Linked DNA regions of Caenorhabditis elegans. The protein of the gene in region 2 interacts with the protein of the main gene of each other region in a pairwise test. Each region holds a gene or a part of one and is shown on either strand. Other genes may lie near its edges. The genes, in order: T11B7.1, magu-1, hlh-30 and kca-1.

Evidence for each region.
Region 1: the proteins of magu-1 (region 2) and T11B7.1 interact in a two-hybrid assay, tested with the Caenorhabditis elegans proteins (one large-scale study listed by BioGRID).
Region 3: the proteins of magu-1 (region 2) and hlh-30 interact in a two-hybrid assay, tested with the Caenorhabditis elegans proteins (one large-scale study listed by BioGRID).
Region 4: the proteins of magu-1 (region 2) and kca-1 interact in a two-hybrid assay, tested with the Caenorhabditis elegans proteins (one large-scale study listed by BioGRID).

Annotation. Positions count from the first base shown.
Region 1 is NC_003282.8:8,839,157-8,843,346, forward strand, and holds T11B7.1 (Centrosomal protein of 162 kDa), read left to right. Parts: upstream 1-1,560; 5' UTR 1,561-1,568; coding exon 1,569-1,635; intron 1,636-1,917; coding exon 1,918-2,125; intron 2,126-2,174; coding exon 2,175-2,597; intron 2,598-2,715; coding exon 2,716-3,036; intron 3,037-3,097; coding exon 3,098-3,416; 3' UTR 3,417-3,649; downstream 3,650-4,190. Other genes in the region: T28C6.7 (Kinesin motor domain-containing protein), read left to right, coding at 1-276, 439-769, 984-1,016; T28C6.11 (uncharacterized protein), read right to left, coding at 507-727, 982-1,105.
Region 2 is NC_003281.10:468,668-473,347, forward strand, and holds the start of magu-1 (MAGUK family), read right to left. Parts: upstream 3,036-4,680; 5' UTR 3,029-3,035; coding exon 2,950-3,028; intron 2,656-2,949; coding exon 2,345-2,655; intron 1,741-2,344; coding exon 1,528-1,740; intron 1,219-1,527; coding exon 1,138-1,218; intron 1,027-1,137; coding exon 840-1,026; intron 794-839; coding exon 696-793; intron 1-695. Other genes in the region: nemp-1 (Nuclear envelope integral membrane protein), read left to right, coding at 3,666-3,744, 3,792-3,946, 3,996-4,078, 4,428-4,510, 4,564-4,680.
Region 3 is NC_003282.8:4,025,101-4,029,826, reverse strand, and holds the start of hlh-30 (Helix-loop-helix protein 30), read left to right. Parts: upstream 1-1,699; 5' UTR 1,700-1,740; coding exon 1,741-1,920; intron 1,921-2,015; exon of another isoform or gene 2,016-2,099; intron 2,100-2,763; coding exon 2,764-2,949; intron 2,950-4,726.
Region 4 is NC_003279.8:4,759,309-4,763,173, forward strand, and holds kca-1 (Kinesin Cargo Adaptor), read right to left. Parts: upstream 2,014-3,865; 5' UTR 2,000-2,013; coding exon 1,475-1,999; intron 1,426-1,474; coding exon 1,237-1,425; intron 1,186-1,236; coding exon 676-1,185; 3' UTR 512-675; downstream 1-511. Other genes in the region: viln-1 (HP domain-containing protein), read left to right, coding at 1-176.

The DNA.
Region 1 (4,190 bases), on a different chromosome or scaffold from region 2:
TATCGAGGCATCCGAATCGGCTGATCTGAAGTCTCTGGAAGAGTTGGAACAGTTAAAAGAAGAACTTCGCATTGTTTCGGAGCAGAATGGATTGCTTAAGGATTCGGAAGCTCGATTATTGGATCACGCTGACGAGTTCGCCGTTCAAATGGACAAGTATCGTGAGAAATGCGAAGTTCTGACAGCAAAAATTGCAGAACTGGAAGCACAACTTCAGAATCCTGCTGAAGAAGATCAACAGCAGAAGACATCAAACGTCGAGCTAGTCAAGCTGAGGTGAGTTAAATCTTTTTAACGTTTAAATGAATTGGTGTATAGAACGAAATTTTATTTTAAACTAAAGTATTTGATAGCATGTTCCGGACATGTGAAAATCGAAAAAATAAAGTAACACACAATCAGAAAATTAAATATAGATTTATATTAATATTATTTCAGACAACAACTTGCAAATGCTCAACAGGATATGCGAGTTCAAAATCTGACGATTTCTGATCGTGAAGGTCTTATCGCGGAGTATCGTCATCAAATTGCCGAGCAGACCAAGACAATTGAAGAACTTCACTTGAAACTAAAAACCTTCTCAGCGGCGGCTCGTCGAACTTCTCCACGAGTGCCAATGTCATCGAATGTACCAGCTCTCTCATCCCGCCCATCATCCAGAATGTCAACGTCGTCACGAATCTCAACCGCGTCTTCGTTTGTGCCAGAATCCGTGGCAGTACCACTACAATCAACTGGATCAGCGTTTGATGTCGTCGTACGACAGGTATAAATTTAGCTTTTCATATGATTTCCAGATGCCCAAAACCTAATTGATCACGTTTTCAAACTTAAATTCTTCTGAAAATGTTATCTATGTTACCTTCAAACATTTTTTATGGCGACATCTAAAATAGTGGTATTTCGAAAAAAAATCTCATTGTACATTCGGCCGATATCGGATGCGATACACAAAACCAAGTAATCAATATTACTTACAGAGTGGCGAGCCTCTTCGACGTCGTAACAAATAGATGAGATGACCCCTGTACGTTGCCCGTGGAGAGTGTGGTTCACTGTTTCTTCCAACACTACAAATCTCCAACATACCATTCATTTGCATTCGGTGTTTTCTCCCTCCCTCTTCTCGTTTTTAATCTTTTTTACTTTTATTCTAGGTCTGTCAGTTCTGTAGGATCCCTAATTAAGTAACTTTTCCTCAAGTATTTTTTAATGTATATTCGTAGATCTGCTAAACCTAAATTGAATCGATAATTTTTGGAAACCTTCTTTTCGAGTCGATAATATACATGAGCGTTCTGTTTTATAGTTTTCATCCAGATGACTTGCCCATACGTCATCGTCAAGAGATGACTGATTAATTTATTATTTTTTACATCCAAAGTGCCTTGATATCGGTAGCTAATCGAGTTTTTTGAAGGGTTTTCATTTGTTTTCTTGTTTATAATGCACGAATTGTATGGAAATGATTGTAGTTATGATATTATAAGATATGAATACGGTTTCATTTAACTTCTTTTTTTTAAATCTGTTTTAGTGCAAGGATTTTGGATTTTCAGAGAGTAATGTCAGGAATCAAACCAAGTGTTTCAAAAGGAGAAAGTCAAGCACCGCAAACAAGACAATTGGAAGGTAAACATTTTTGAAATCACAGTGTTTCATAACAGGAATGATATTATTTCTGACGTTTTTTTTTGTATAATTAATCGAAGCTGTCACATCGCCTCGCGCACGCGTGTATGATAGGTTCCATTCGCAATTTGTTCCTGGAAAATTACGGAGAATGAAAGAAAAAGTGTGACGTCATGCGGGTTTTTCTACTTGCGTTTTATGTATCCCGTCTGAAAATCTGAAACATCGATAGTCACGCAGTCCTCTGAATACTTTTCCTCGTGAATGTATATTAAATTTCAGCGTCTAAGCCTACAGTTCAAGGAATAATTGATATTCTTCATGATACCATAAGCTATGTCCAAGTTGAGAAACAAAGTAAAACTATTAATTTTTCCATTCCTCATTTGCAAATGATTAAAGAACAGCTTGAAAGTATTCAATTAAAAGATAAAAACTACAAGGATTTGGAAAAAAAGTTCAATGAAAAACAGGATGAACATTTGGAAACGTAAGTATACTGTTTTTTCGTAATTTTTGTAAGATTAAACTTGTTTCAGAATCCAGAAGTTAGATTCAACACTCAGCCGTCAGAAGCTTAAGTATGATGATATGAGACAGGCACTTTCTGTAAAAATCTATACACTCGAGAATGAATGTTCCAATTTGCAAGACAACTATGCTGACTTGCAAAATGATTTTGAAGTTCAAATTGAAAAATTCAAAAAACTTCAAAACTTGAAAAGTATTCAAAATCACGAGAATTCAAAAAATGTGAATCCTCTAACATTGGATGAGCTCACCGAACAGTTGAAACAATTCAAAGAAGAACTAAGTATTGATCAGAAACTGAAAAATATTCAGTTAACTTGTGAAGGACTACAGTCAGCTGTTGGAAATTTTGAAATGAATTCGAAAAAAGCTAAGGAAATTGAAATTCTTAAAATGGATATAAAGAAGACACAAGAGCTCTATGAATCAAGGTAACTATGTTTATCTGTATAGTCGACCGAAAACATAACATGCACTGCCATCGAGATATAGTAATCTGTTTGGCAGTGTAAGAACAAACATTTTATGTTTCGTAATTACTTTTTCCAGACTGCTCAGGGCTGCTCAAGAAAACAAGAAACTGCTCAGAAAAAACGATACATTGAAAAACTATCTTGATAATCAAACAGCGAAAATTGGAGAGCTCACAGCTGGAAACAAAACAGAGAATCGTTCACCAACTCCAACATTGCAGGGACTTATTGAAATTCTTCAAAAGTTTTCAGACGATCAAAAACTTGAACCAGAATGTAAGATGCTGCAGTTGCATAAAGAGGAGTGTCGTTTGATTTTGGAAAGTCTTGAAGTGCACGATAAGAAAGATCAAGAGATTCAGTGGTTCCAAAGACAAATTAACGATCAGAAAAAAAGGTAAGTTTTGACGAAACATTTATATTTTGTTGATCTTAAAAACACATAAAAATTATTACAGAATCGCTAATCTTGGTTGGTCATACGAAAATGCTCTTGAAGATAAGGATGCTCTAGAATTAAAGCTTGAACATCAATACGAGCAGATGATGGAATTGAAAAAGAATTTCATTCCGAAAAACGAAATTTCTGAGGATTTGGCGAAGACTGTCAGAAATTTTGGAAAACGTCTCAGAAATTCTCGAGGAAATTTGAAGAATGCGTTCAAAGAATTAGAAGCTTTAAAAGAAGTTCAAGAGGAAGAAGGCTCATCAGATGAAAGTTCTGAAAGCAGCGCTTCTGATGATTTACCAGATGGTGACAGCTCGTCAGAGGAATAGCATCGAATCAGAAAATTGAGATTTCATTGAAATTAAATGTACCTTCTTACAATGACTAATATTTTAAAAAATTTTAACTATTCACAAATCAACGATTTTCTTGTTATTCGCTCTACGATATATCATGATTTCCCATTTATCCGACTTTCTCTTTGTTTTCAAATTTTCTTGATTATTCTGATTAACTTTACACTGTTCCAACTGTTCTTGTTTCTGAAATAAAATCTTCCAATAAGTCCTTCCAAGAACCAAAGACAAACTTATGTATAAAAAATGTCACAATTATAACAGCTGCGGACGAGCCCGAACAGGTTGAAAGTCTTTCTCAACCTGTGGACAAATGACGGTCCAACAGCCGGTAATGGACCTAAGACGGCCTTCAGTTTGCCCGCTATAAAACCGTACGTATTAGCCAGCGGTGGGCCACTTTTCACTGTTGCCGCTTCAAATTTGTCATGGCTTGGAATGGATAGAAGATTGTTGAGACGATGGGTATATCAGATTTCTTATTCTGTTCGTAAAGTCTGGATCATTTTGAGATTATTCTGCGTCTAATGATACAATTATCTTATTTATGTTCCTCGAGGGTGTCATTTTTCCATGCTATCGATTTTTTAGACAATCATAAATGTTGTTAGGTTGACCGAAGGCGCTGGAAGATGATGAACATGCCCTAAATTTTTGACTTTTGACAAGCCAAAGTTTACATTTCTGTTCATTAGATCTTTGAAAGCAATTTGATTTTTGTAACATCGGATAGCTTGATTGTGAGTC
Region 2 (4,680 bases):
TATAGCTTTGAATTGAAAAAAAACTACACTTTTTAAAGAAAATTCTGAAAAAAAGTGCAAAAGTGGAATTTTCTGGATTTCCAAAATTCCAATTATCTGGATAAAAACCACGTGTAATTGGTTTTTTTTTAAATGAAAAAATTTCTCTTTTTTTTACCTAAAAAGTAACGAAAAATCCATTTTTCTGTTCAAAAACTCGCAAAAAATTGATTTTTTACTTAAATTTCACTGAAAATTCCCATTTTTAACCTAAAAAATCCCAAAAAAATCGATTTTTCGCGCTAAAAACCCCACAATTTTCAGTCGTGAACGTTAAAAATCGCCATTTTAGCTAAATTTCCACTGAAAATTCTCTTATTTTTTACCTAAAAATTAACGAAAAATCCATTTTTATGTTCAAAAACTCGCAAAAAATAGATTTTTTACTCAAATTCCACTTTTTTTTTCGATTTTTTGAATTTTTAAGGATCCGATTGGACTTTAGTGTTGCCAATATTTTATAGCGTTTAAATTGAAAAAAAAACTACGCTTTTTAAAGAAAATTCTGAAAAAAAGTGCAAAAGTGGAATTTTCTGGATCTCCAAAATTCCAATTATCTGGATAAAAACCACGTGGAATTAGATTTTTTTAAAATTAAATTTTCTCATTTTTCTGAAGTCATAAGTCACTTTTAAACCCTTTTTCCAAAATTATACCTCTAAAAATGACTGAAAATCATCTGAAGTATCTATTCCATTTTCTGGAATTTCCGATTGACACTGTAGCCATTCCGACGGTACGAGACCCACTTTTTCTGAAAAAATCATTATTTTTGGAATTTCAGAGCGCAATTTTCTCACTGGAATCATCTCGATTCTCGTCATCATGACTCTCTTTCCGCCTCGCCAGTGCTCCGAATCCGATTTTTCGAGTTTGCCACCAATATTGGTCCTTTTCGTCGAGGATCTCTAGAATATCACCGCCGCGGAAGGAAATTGCAGCTTCTGGGCAGGGATGACGTTTGTCCTGCCATGGATCGTAGTCGAACTGAAAACTAGGAAGAATTCTAGGCTATTTTTACGGAATTTCTACTTGGAAATTGAAAAATTTGCGAATTTTGGACTAAAATTCTGAGAAAAACTAGAAAAAACCACTTACCAAAGCTCGGGCATACCGATGTGACGACTTTTTCTGCTTTAACTTCTGGTTTATTTCTGCAGGGATCAGCTTGAAGGTTATCTGAAAAATAATATTGGAAATTTGAGAAAAAACGTGTATTTTTATAGATTTTCTTAAAAACTTTTTTAGTTCAGGCTAAAAGTTACAAATTACTGAGAAAATGCAAATTTTTTCTGATATTTCAGGTTTTTTTTTTAAATTATAATAAATCCATCTTCAATGTTTTTTAACAAATACAGAATTTTTTAGCAATTTTCAGGTATACAAGACGATACGAATATGTGATTTTTTACAAATTTTCTCTGATTTTCGTGATAAACTGCTAGGAAATTGTTGTTTTTTCGAATTTTTTAAAACAAAATCACTAACAATTCCATTATCACATTTATCCAGCAGCTTCACGATTTCCCTGGGCTCCTTATCCGCTACAGTAATCCCATTGACCTCCAATACTCGATCGCCTTCCTGAATACATCCACTACGGTCTGCCACACCGTTCGCCATTATTCGTGCCACGTATACTTTGCCACGTTCGCATTTTATTGTTGCACCGAGGGGTTCGCCACGTCGCACTATTCGCACCTGGAAAATTGAAACAAAAAATTAGAAAAATGAAATGGAATATAAAATTTTTGGGTCTGTTAAATATTTAGCAGACCAAAGTTGGGTATGCTAAATATTTAGCAGACCCAAACCAATATTTAGCAGACCAAAGTTGGGTATGCTAAATATTTAGCAGACCAATGCCAATATTTAGCAGACCCAAGTTAGGTATGCTAAATATTTAGCAGACCCAAGTTGGGTATGCTAAATATTTAGCAGACCAAAGTTGGGTCTGCTAAATATTTAGCAGACCATTGCCAATATTTAGCAGACCCAAGTTAGGTATGCTAAATATTTAGCAGACCAATGCCCATATTTAGCAGACCCAAGTTAGGTATGCTAAATATTTAGCAGACCAAAGTTGGGTCTGCTAAATATTTAGCAGACCAAAGTTGGGTCTGCTAAATATTTAGCAGACCAAAGTTGGGTGTGCTAAATATTTAGCAGACCCAAGCCAATTTTAGCAGACCAATAGAATTTTATAAAAGTGGAAATTTGAAAAAATTGTCAATTTTACTAGCCAATTTTTCCAAAATTTTGAAAATTTCAATAGAATTTCCGAACAAAAACCGTCGATCCTCACAATTTTCACAGCGACCCCATCATCCTCGTCAACTTCGAACGGAACGTCTGGAAGCTGCGGAGCAAACCGCCCGGCTGAAATTTCCTGCGCCGCCCATAATACTCCCTGTACACGTGGCAAATTTAGGAGCTCAACGAGTTGCTGAACCGACGAAGATTTGATATTTGAAATGTCCCAGTCGTCGAGAACGTTCTGTGATAGTTCTTGAAATGAGATCTCTTGTTTCTGGTCGTTTGTTGAGAAATTCCGCAGAATTGATACGGCTTTTTGTTGCTTTTTCGTTAAACTTGTTCGTGGAGGCCTTTCGTCGTCTGGAATTTCAGTAAATTGGTGTTTATTGCCACTTTTTTTTTCAAAAGTAGCTAAAATTTGCTTAAAAACCATAAAAAACTTGATTTTTTTAAGATTAAAAATGTTTAAACTAGCTTATTTATCTACTTAAAATTCTAAAAACCGTATTTTCAAAAAAAAAGTTATATTTGGGTCTGCGAAATATTTAGCAGACCAAAATTCCTTTAATTTTCGCCGAAATTGTATTATTCTTCCGCCAAGAATCTCTTTTATCTGCTCAATGTCTTGCAATTTCTCGATTTTCAAACACGTACTCTCATTAGATGTCCCCGCTGCTACTTCCTCTGCATAATCCAGTATTGTTCCAAATATTGCCGATAAATTGTCGGGCATTTGAGATCTGGAATTCGGTTTTTTCTTCAAATTTCTTCAAATTTCAGCACTAATTCGTAAAAATACACGAAATTTCTGTCAAAAAATCAATTGAAAGCGAAAAAATGAGCACTTTAGTGTAAAACAAAGGGGGAACCTTTTAATTTAGAGGGGCTCGGTTAAACAAGGCGTGCGGCGGAGTGTCGTTGCAAGGAAATTTGAATTTAAATTTTATTTTTTCAGGTTTGATAAAACGTATTTAAATTAAAATTTATGACATTTTTTTATTGTAATCGTTAATTTTTCGAGTTTAAATCAATTTTTGGCGAAGTTTAGTTCATAAATATCGACTTTCCTTCGATATTTCACAATTTTTTCGATTTTCTTCGAATTTTTCAATCATTCTTTTCTGATTTTGGAATCGAATTCCAGAAATTTTCGAAAATTAACTAAAAATTGATAACAAAACAAAATAACTGAAAGTTGTCCACGAGGAGTCCACAGAATACTTTCGTGGCGGGACCCGGCAGCGCGAAAACCTAGATTTCGAATTTTCATGTGAATTTTCACGTTTTTTCTCTGAATTTCGGTTGAATTTCTCCCCATCTTCTAATTTTCCAACAAATATTTCTGAATTTTCAGCAAAAATTCGGCGCAGATGCGCTTACTGACCCTCGCACTACTCGTCGCGGGTAGCTTGGCCTATAAATTCGAGGATTGTGAGCAAAAACCGGCAGGTAAGACTTTTTTAAAGTTTCAAAATTAAAAAAAAAATAATTTTCAGCTCTAAACCAGGTCCTTCGTGTCGGCGCCAAGCTTTACTCGTACAATCTCGACTTTTTCTATCAGAAAGCACTACCTTACAACGCGATATACGCGTTTACCGATGTTTTTTTGCAGACTAATCTGACAAATGCGGATCAATATCAGTTTTATCAGGTAGGTTCTCGGGAAATGCTTGCGAAAATATAAAATGGAGTTGTTTCAGGGTACAAACTGCACAACTGTTCAACAGCTTTACGATAATGACAATCGTTATTTCGGAATTTTACGGAAAGCCGCACTTTTGAGGTTTGGACCGCGAAAAAGACACAGATTTTATGATAAATCAGCAAAAATTTGTTGGATTTCGCTGATAAATAGAAATGTGCAACAGAGAAACGTGGAAATTTTGGTCTGCTAAATATTTAGCACACCAAAGTTGGGTATGCTAAATATTTAGCAGACCCAAAGTTAGAAGAAAGCCAATAATTCCGAATTTTCCGTCTAATTTTAATTAAAATTCGATTAAACTTTTGCGTTTCTGCTAGGATTTTAGTAAATTCATCGAAGATTTTGCAGAAAGTCACGGATTTTCGGGTATCCCAACTCTAGCTGTAAAATATTCTGAAAAATCCAACAATTAAACTAAATTTTGCAGATCTCATCAGTTAAATCCGTTCAATGACACAATCGTCGGCGTCTCCACAACTGAACCATACGAAATATCGGTTTTAATTTGGAGTTAGTATTAAATTGAATTTATTTTTAAAAAATCGTTAAACAAATTCTTCCAGAAGTCAACTATTTCCGTGTTGGTGTCTACGTCGGAGCAATCGTGCTATTTTTGCTCGCCAGCAAGCTCGTTAGAAATGTCGTCTTCTACTACACCAGTGGATGTTCTTTCGGATTGC
Region 3 (4,726 bases), on a different chromosome or scaffold from region 2:
AGATCTAAGCCTAGGGTCTTAAGTTTCGGACTCTAAATCTGAAATTCAAACTTACGAGAAATTGAGCAAAAAGTGTTGTCAATTTAAACCCTTTTTCAATTTAATCATCAATATTTGCCCCGACCTCTGGAAATATCACAATACCACCAATCCGGCGCCCCAACTCCTCCTTTATTTCTCAGTTAGCCCCCCCCCCCCTACTGTTTGCCGAGTAACAATTCTCTGCGTCTTGCAAATTCCCAAAACTTCATTGTACATACACATATCACTATCATAATCATCACACACTAATTATGAAAGAGAATAGGCGCCGCGCTTATCAGTTGGCGGCGGGAGGCCGAATTCTCCTTCGTCGCCTAAAAAGAGAGGGTTTTGTCGAATAGTTTTGTTTTATTTTCGTATTTTCTTTGCGTTGGTTGGAATTTAAAACAAACTTTTGATGGCGTCATTGTTGCTTTGGATCATTTCTTTGTCATGTTTTTGTGATGATAACCTGTGTTTGGGTTGAAAAAAAATCGACTTTTCCAGGTTTTTGTTGACTTAGAGACTTTGTGAGGTCTCACTTTTTGAAATTGATAGAGTGCCACTTCCAGACCCCCTAAAACTTCCAGCAAAGCCGCTGGGTAAAAATTCTACTCGGATCATAGAACGATAACATTTTCTTCAAGTTGTCTTTTTTGATCCATCCGTTTTCGCCATTTTTTTGTTTCTGAACCTCGGAAGCTTAAAAAATTCTAATTTTCCTGAAAACCCTGTTTCGAACGACCTAAGTAAGCTTCAAATGTCAGAAGTCCCTAGGTGCAGCTCCAGAAGGCTTAGGTTCTTAGGCTTAGCTTCCTAATTGTTCGCCCTCAAGGTAGGAATTTTTGGAATATTTTGTTCAGGACATCTAATAACACTTTTTGATTTTATTTAGATCACCTTAGATTGCATACTGCTCCATTGCCCGAACCTAGAAAAAAATCCTTGTCCGAACAAAGGCCTTAAATTGTTAAGCTAGCTTTATCTTTTGAATTTCTCAGATTTTTCAAAACCGAATTTTGATCTCCCTCATCTTTTAATCTTCTTCTAATCAAATCAAGCCCATCAAACTGTTCAAAAAAAAAGATCTCTGGCCACCTCCTCCGAATACAGTTTGTTGTGTTCTTCTTATTTTTCTCGACCTAATCTCTGATGTCTTAACTATATGGACCGTTACTATCTTGTAATTAGGATGGGGCCAATGATTTTGTTTAGGAGTTTAGTATTCTAGGATTCCAGCTACGCAGACAGCTAGCCACCCCCAACTGCCCTTAAGTAGCCTAATCGCCATTGTCTCGACAAGAACTTGGCAGGAGGTGGGGGACACAGTAATAAACGAAATGATCGGTGGTGGAGGCTGTGAGAGAAAGAGATAGGGGCGGGCGCGTGTGCGCCCGTGTGCCCCATCTCTCGCGCCTCTCGCTCGATCCTTTGGGGAGGGGCTGCTGTTGCTGGCGACGACCTCTTGATATGTCACATTGTGTCTGCCGCTCTCTCGCCTCGTCCTCTCGTATCACCTCGGTCTCCCGCGACCCCTTTGGGCGCCTCTCTCCCGACCCTTCCACTCGGTTTCTTCTCTTGTCTTTCGCTCTTTTCCCTCTCCCCCTTTCGAATTTTTTTCCTTTTTTTCTACCAACCAATATACCTTTTTATCGATTGATTTTTTTTTAATTCTCAGATCCCGATACTGAAAAAAAAAATCAGCGAATAAGAGCATTCATGATCCGCCAACTAAATTCACCAGGCGGTGGCGGCGGCCTCGGATTGAACAATCCGAGAGCCCAGCAGCCACCGGGTGCTCAACAGCAGCAGCAACCACAACAAGCCCAGCAACAGTTCTACGATGACGAGCCATATCAGGCTAACGCGTCGCAGTTTCGATTTGGCGCCGGCAAAAGTGTAAGGGCTAATAATTTTCTAGGTTCAGGTTTAGGCCAACGACATTTGGTCTTTACACCCTTCAAATAGCCCCGTTTCTTATCAGCTCTCTTTCCCCCCGCTTTTAGTTTCCTGCTCCGGGCACCCAACTTCCTTCCGGGACACTTGAGTAGCCTAACTCACCAGAACTTTGTCTTGAAATTCGCTCAAGATAAGACCCCCATCTGACGATTGATTGACCGGTCATGTGTGGTGACAATACACAAAAAGAGAAAAGAAACAAGAGAGCGAATGAGACTTGATTGTTTTGTAGTTTGTGGTTTCGGCGGTCCGTTTGGGCTTGACACAGGCTTCTAGTTTCAGTCCTATCAACGTTCTTTGAGCTGATATCAGTTTTGACCTACTTTATCAATTTACCAATCGCATTACCATTTTCATTGCGAGCCAAAACTCGCATTAAAAATTTACAAACCTCGCTTAAAATTGTACTTTGCTCTCTTCGCCCATTTTCTAAGCTTGATCCGATTTCAATTTCAAATCACAAATCGAATTTCAAACTCAGTTTTCTCATCTCTCGACGCCAATTGTCATCACTTTGGGGCCGGCGAGGCGGTGGCGACAGGGGCAGCTAATTTATCAAGTAACAGGGCTGCTCAGTTTTCTGATCGGCTTTGATTTCCCTATCTCCCAAATTAGAGAGATATAGACACAATGTTTTTGGCACACTGCCAACTTCCCGCCCGCCGCCGCCGCCAATATAGTAGTAGTAAACAAAGCAGAGCGCTCATGGTGCATCAACGACCGAAATTTAGTAGTTATCTTTCCATAATGATTTCTATCTCTTTTCTTATTTTGTATTTTGAGATGGAACAACGTCGAGAGACGGGAAATCTGATTCCAATCGCACAACGATCGATGGGCTCGACGTCGACACCGTTCGGCTCAGCGCCTACACAGAGCTACTTTGGCGGAGGGAGCAGTGGAGCGGCATTAAGTAGTCCAAGGAAGATGCAGCAGACGCATCAGATGTTGTTCGGCAATATTCAACCGGTTAGTTTCAAATTTTATTAAAAGAAAATTTTTGTTTTCTTACATTGTTTGAGCTCAAAGTCTCTACAGAAATAAAACAAAAAACGAAACAAAATACTGCATTCTAACATAATTTTTAACGATTTTATGGAAAGTTTAAAGGTAGTTTACAAGTTTTTTTTACCCAGCTCAATTAATAGTAAGAAAAAAAGCAGAATTTTTGGAATTTTTTTCTTATGAAAAAAAGTGGGCCTGAAAGGGCTCCCCGGTAACTAAATTGTTTTGTGGTTCTTTTTTTTTAATCTGTGTAAAAGTACCTTTTTCAAGAGTTGGGGTTTCTTGGCTCAAAATAAGCTTAAACCCTGCTCTTCTTCGCTTAAAGGCGTAGGCACACAATTAAATTGCTCGACATTATAGATCTTCAAACTTTACGTAAAAATTTCTTCCAACTTGCTCCCCTGAAACTGATATCTTTTCATTTTTCTTGTAGATCTCCCTTTTTTGGCATCTGTTGTTAGCCTAACGTCGTAGGGTCAAATTATAGAAGTTTGAATTTTTACAAAAAAATTGTTCTTGATTGGCTTTAACAATATGACCCCCCCCCCTGAGCCATGTATTTGTTTTCAAGCACTTTTGCGCCACGGCGCCCATTCCATATTTTTCCTTCCACATTCTGCGGTCTCTCCCACTCCCAGATGACTCCACCCTAGACGGAACAGCTGAAAAACGAAAAACGGGCGCTGAAAAAATCTTGCGTTTGGCACGTAGCCCCCCCCCCCCCCGGGTCTCTGTCTGCCTCTTGGACAGTGTCACGTGGTGTTCGGCTAGCTTCTCTCGGCGTCCGGTTGTTTTTACACTCTCCGATGGTCTCTGACGTGTGGTAGTGGTGGTGGATAGGACTGAGAAGACAATGAGATGTTTGAGTTGAACTTTCAAGTTGATTGGTTGGGTAGGGAGGGGGCTGTATGTGGACTAAAAGGTCGAATAGGACCCTAGCTATCAACAGCGCATCAAATAAAATTTGACTTTATGATACGAGTCTGTACCATTTGACTAGCTCATTACAAAAACCCACGAAGCTAACTCCAAGTTCCCGGTATTTCGTTTGAAACTTTTTTGCCAAACTTCGATGCTCGTAGAATTTATCCAAAACCAAATTTTCTGAGATTATTAATTTTTCAATGTTTAGGCCAAGCTTTTTGAAACTTTTTCTGAAAAAAGCAGAGTTTTTTTTTCGATTATTTCGAAATCCGTCGAATTTTTCATAATCGGATTTTCCCAGATTTATAACGCATTCTCAAAGCTTTTTGGAAATTTTTAGGACTTTTTCTCCCCATTTTGTCAGTGCATTTTCGCTAGTTTCAAGTCCCGTAGAATTTCTCCAAAACCAAATTTTGAGAGATTTTCAATGTTTTAAAGCATGAGGAAAACTAGGCAAATATTCTGGAAGCTTTTTGGAAAAAAAAACATCTTACAAAAAAAAATTGAAATTTCTCGGAACCTGGGATCTTTTTTTTTTCACAATCAGTACATTTTCCCCCTAATTTTGAAACCTGTAGAATTCAGGGAAAATCTGATTTTCATAGAATTCTAATGTATTTAAGAACGTTGAGAACTTAACTTTTTTCTAGAAATTTTTTCGACCATTAGAGTTTGTTTCCCAGGAATTCGAAACTTGTACAAATTTCGTTATCACTCTTTATTTGAACTATTTTTCTAAAATTGTGAAGTCCTAATTATTAGTGTTGTACGTTTGAATCCGGATTCGTTTTCGCATTGAGACCCAATTTAGTTCAAT
Region 4 (3,865 bases), on a different chromosome or scaffold from region 2:
CACTCGAAGAACTGAAAGAACGAACAAGTCTTCCAGCTGGAATGGACATGAGACGTCTGGAGAGCTACTTGACTGACGACGATTTTATGAAAGTTTTTAAAATTGAAAGAAGCGAATTTTATGCTCAAAAAACTTGGAAACAGAACGATGCACGGAAAAGAGTTGGACTATTCTGAACATATTTTTTATTTATATTGACTCACTAGAGGCGGTGAAACCGTCATTACTGTATTATCACCTTGCCATTTTATCTCCTGTATAGATTGCCTGATAAATAAAAGCGTGTAATGTTTAACTGGATTTCGATTACTACATACTAAACAGATAATATAGCATGAAGAGCAATATCTGAATAGAAAAAAGAAACTTTAAAGTAAATGTAATGCATGATTCAGTGAATAAATATGGAAAAATTGCTATGGAGCATTCGTAAGTGTACAACTTCGGCTTATCCAAATCCATTTTCCGCTTCTTTCTGACCTACAACAGTGACGCCTTCAAAATAAAATTTAAAGTGATAATCGTCTTTATTTTTGACGAGAATAAAATATATTGCAATAAAACTATAGTACATGTGATCACTTGTGAATAATAATATTTGACATGGAATTATAAACTTAAGACGAGCGGGATGGGTGAGTATTTTACAAGTTAATCAATATAAATTTATATTATTTACAGCATGCATTCGTCGAAACTTCCGACATCGGATTCCAAATGCGGCTGCCAATCCGAATCCTCGAAGTCGGCGGATACGTCGTGGTCACTTTCCCGGCTCACACGATCAGTGTCGATTTCCGGGCCATTCGGACATTCGCTGCAGATCTCGTCGATGCTCTTTTTGATGCTCTGGATGCGCTCTCGAAGTTGCCTAGCGAGTCCTTGTTCTGGCCCATTCTGGTTGGCAAGTGCACGCTGAATGGCATTTTCCACACGATCCAATCCCAGAATGGCGCTCCTCGCATCATCAGAAACATTGGCTTGATCTAGGTTGATGGTCGAACTGCTTGGTTCAGATGACATTTCCTCTGACGAATGAACGACATATGTGTTGCAAAGGGGATTCTGAGTTGATTGTTCGGGCTTTCCGTGGTCTTGCTCAGCGTCTTCCGAGTCGACATAGGCCAGCTGGTAGAAATCTCTGTTCAATGATTTGCACAGAATTTCATTAGTTTCCTCTCGACTCTAAAAAAATAAGATTTTAGTTCAATAAAATTATATACTCAAGAAATTTACCTTGTTCAACGTTGTCATAATTACAGCATTATCAAGTAGAATCGATGAAGTGTTGTTGAAGACTGCAGCTGGCACAGCGACTGTGTTGGAGTCACAATATCTCAATGGAACCAAGCTGTACTCGTCGTCACTTCCGTCCTCATTGATTGCAGGATTCTTCGGCGTGCTGGTGTAAAGTGGTGTGAACGGCTGTAAAACAACAAAATTAGCATAAAGTTGTTAAAATAAATATTCTCACCCGTGGCTGACGATCTTCCGGAGTGTTATCCAATTCGAATCGGACTGCTTTCAACACACGAGGAGGGAGTTTGAATCCTTTCGATGGATGTGGAGTGTATTTATGATCCTCAGGAAGCTCATCTTGTGCTGGAGTAGTTCGATGCTTCCAATACGAAATCTCGTCGTCATCCCACCAAAACTCGTCGTTTTTCATTGACGACACAGACTCGCGAGTCTTTTTTTCAACAAACTTCTCCATTCCGTCGACGTCGTTGTTCCGGAAGCACTTCATTATTTCATCGACAGTTTCTTTGTCCTGTTTCTTCTTCAAGTCCTTCTCAGTCTGACGCCATACAAACCAGCTGAATGGCCGGAAGAACGAGACGCCTTGTACGTCAGAAGTGTGTGGAGATGCCATAGAATGCCAGGAGCTCGATAATGAAGTCGATTTCATTGTTCGAAATGATGAATCGGAAGTGCTCTGCCCTGAGCAGTAGGACAGAGCATCTTCTCCGATCATCACTCCGGCGTCTTGTCGAACCATTTGGAATCGAACGGCTGCAAGAGAAAATATAATTGGGAAAAAAGGAAGGAAAAGTGGAAAAAGGAAATTGAATAAATAAATTTTCGAAAAAATTAAGTTTAAGCTTCGAAAATTAATCCTAAAAAAGAGAAAAATGTGATTCAAAAAGGCTAAAAGTGAAATGAGAATACGAAAATACGAAAATACGCGCCTTTCATTGCACAGGTCTCGGCGCGACTTTACCTCCGGAAAATTTGGCACATGCGTCTTTAAAAGAGTACTGTAGTTTCCTTCAATATTTGCGACAATGAAAAATCGATTTAAAATCGAAAATCTTCCCAATTTGTTTTAAAAAATTATAAGAAATTACATGAGCTCAGAACATTTTTCTTTGGTATTTTTTCATTTCTAGTTGAAATCCAGTTAAGTTGCTAAAATTTAATCCCGTATTTTGTTGATTTTCCAGTAATTTATTTCTAGAAATAAATCAAATGTGTTTTAAACTCTGAAATTTCAACAGAAAAAACAAATAATCATGCGAGTATTCGAAGAATCGCATAAACTCCGAAACTTTAATTTTTTTAAGTTCATTGCCCGAGAGGAGAACACGGCCGAGAATCTGAAAAATCATTTGCACGCGGAATTCAAATTAGATCCTCAGGAAGCTCATCTTGTGCTGGAGTAGTTCGATGCTTCCAATACGAAATCTCGTCGTCATCCCACCAAAACTCGTCGTTTTTCATTGACGACACAGACTCGCGAGTCTTTTTTTCAACAAACTTCTCCATTCCGTCGACGTCGTTGTTCCGGAAGCACTTCATTATTTCATCGACAGTTTCTTTGTCCTGTTTCTTCTTCAAGTCCTTCTCAGTCTGACGCCATACAAACCAGCTGAATGGCCGGAAGAACGAGACGCCTTGTACGTCAGAAGTGTGTGGAGATGCCATAGAATGCCAGGAGCTCGATAATGAAGTCGATTTCATTGTTCGAAATGATGAATCGGAAGTGCTCTGCCCTGAGCAGTAGGACAGAGCATCTTCTCCGATCATCACTCCGGCGTCTTGTCGAACCATTTGGAATCGAACGGCTGCAAGAGAAAATATAATTGGGAAAAAAGGAAGGAAAAGTGGAAAAAGGAAATTGAATAAATAAATTTTCGAAAAAATTAAGTTTAAGCTTCGAAAATTAATCCTAAAAAAGAGAAAAATGTGATTCAAAAAGGCTAAAAGTGAAATGAGAATACGAAAATACGAAAATACGCGCCTTTCATTGCACAGGTCTCGGCGCGACTTTACCTCCGGAAAATTTGGCACATGCGTCTTTAAAAGAGTACTGTAGTTTCCTTCAATATTTGCGACAATGAAAAATCGATTTAAAATCGAAAATCTTCCCAATTTGTTTTAAAAAATTATAAGAAATTACATGAGCTCAGAACATTTTTCTTTGGTATTTTTTCATTTCTAGTTGAAATCCAGTTAAGTTGCTAAAATTTAATCCCGTATTTTGTTGATTTTCCAGTAATTTATTTCTAGAAATAAATCAAATGTGTTTTAAACTCTGAAATTTCAACAGAAAAAACAAATAATCATGCGAGTATTCGAAGAATCGCATAAACTCCGAAACTTTAATTTTTTTAAGTTCATTGCCCGAGAGGAGAACACGGCCGAGAATCTGAAAAATCATTTGCACGCGGAATTCAAATTAGATCGAGGAAAAGAGTAGTATTTGGAACTTTGTACATCATAACATCTTTCTGGGAGACTTTTGTGATGTTTCCCTTATGCACATTGCCTTGTTAGATCATATAAAAAGCTTTTGAGCAGAGTCTCAAATATTACTACATCACCTTTACATTTTGGAACCTTTAATTTTTCAATGGAAGTTTGT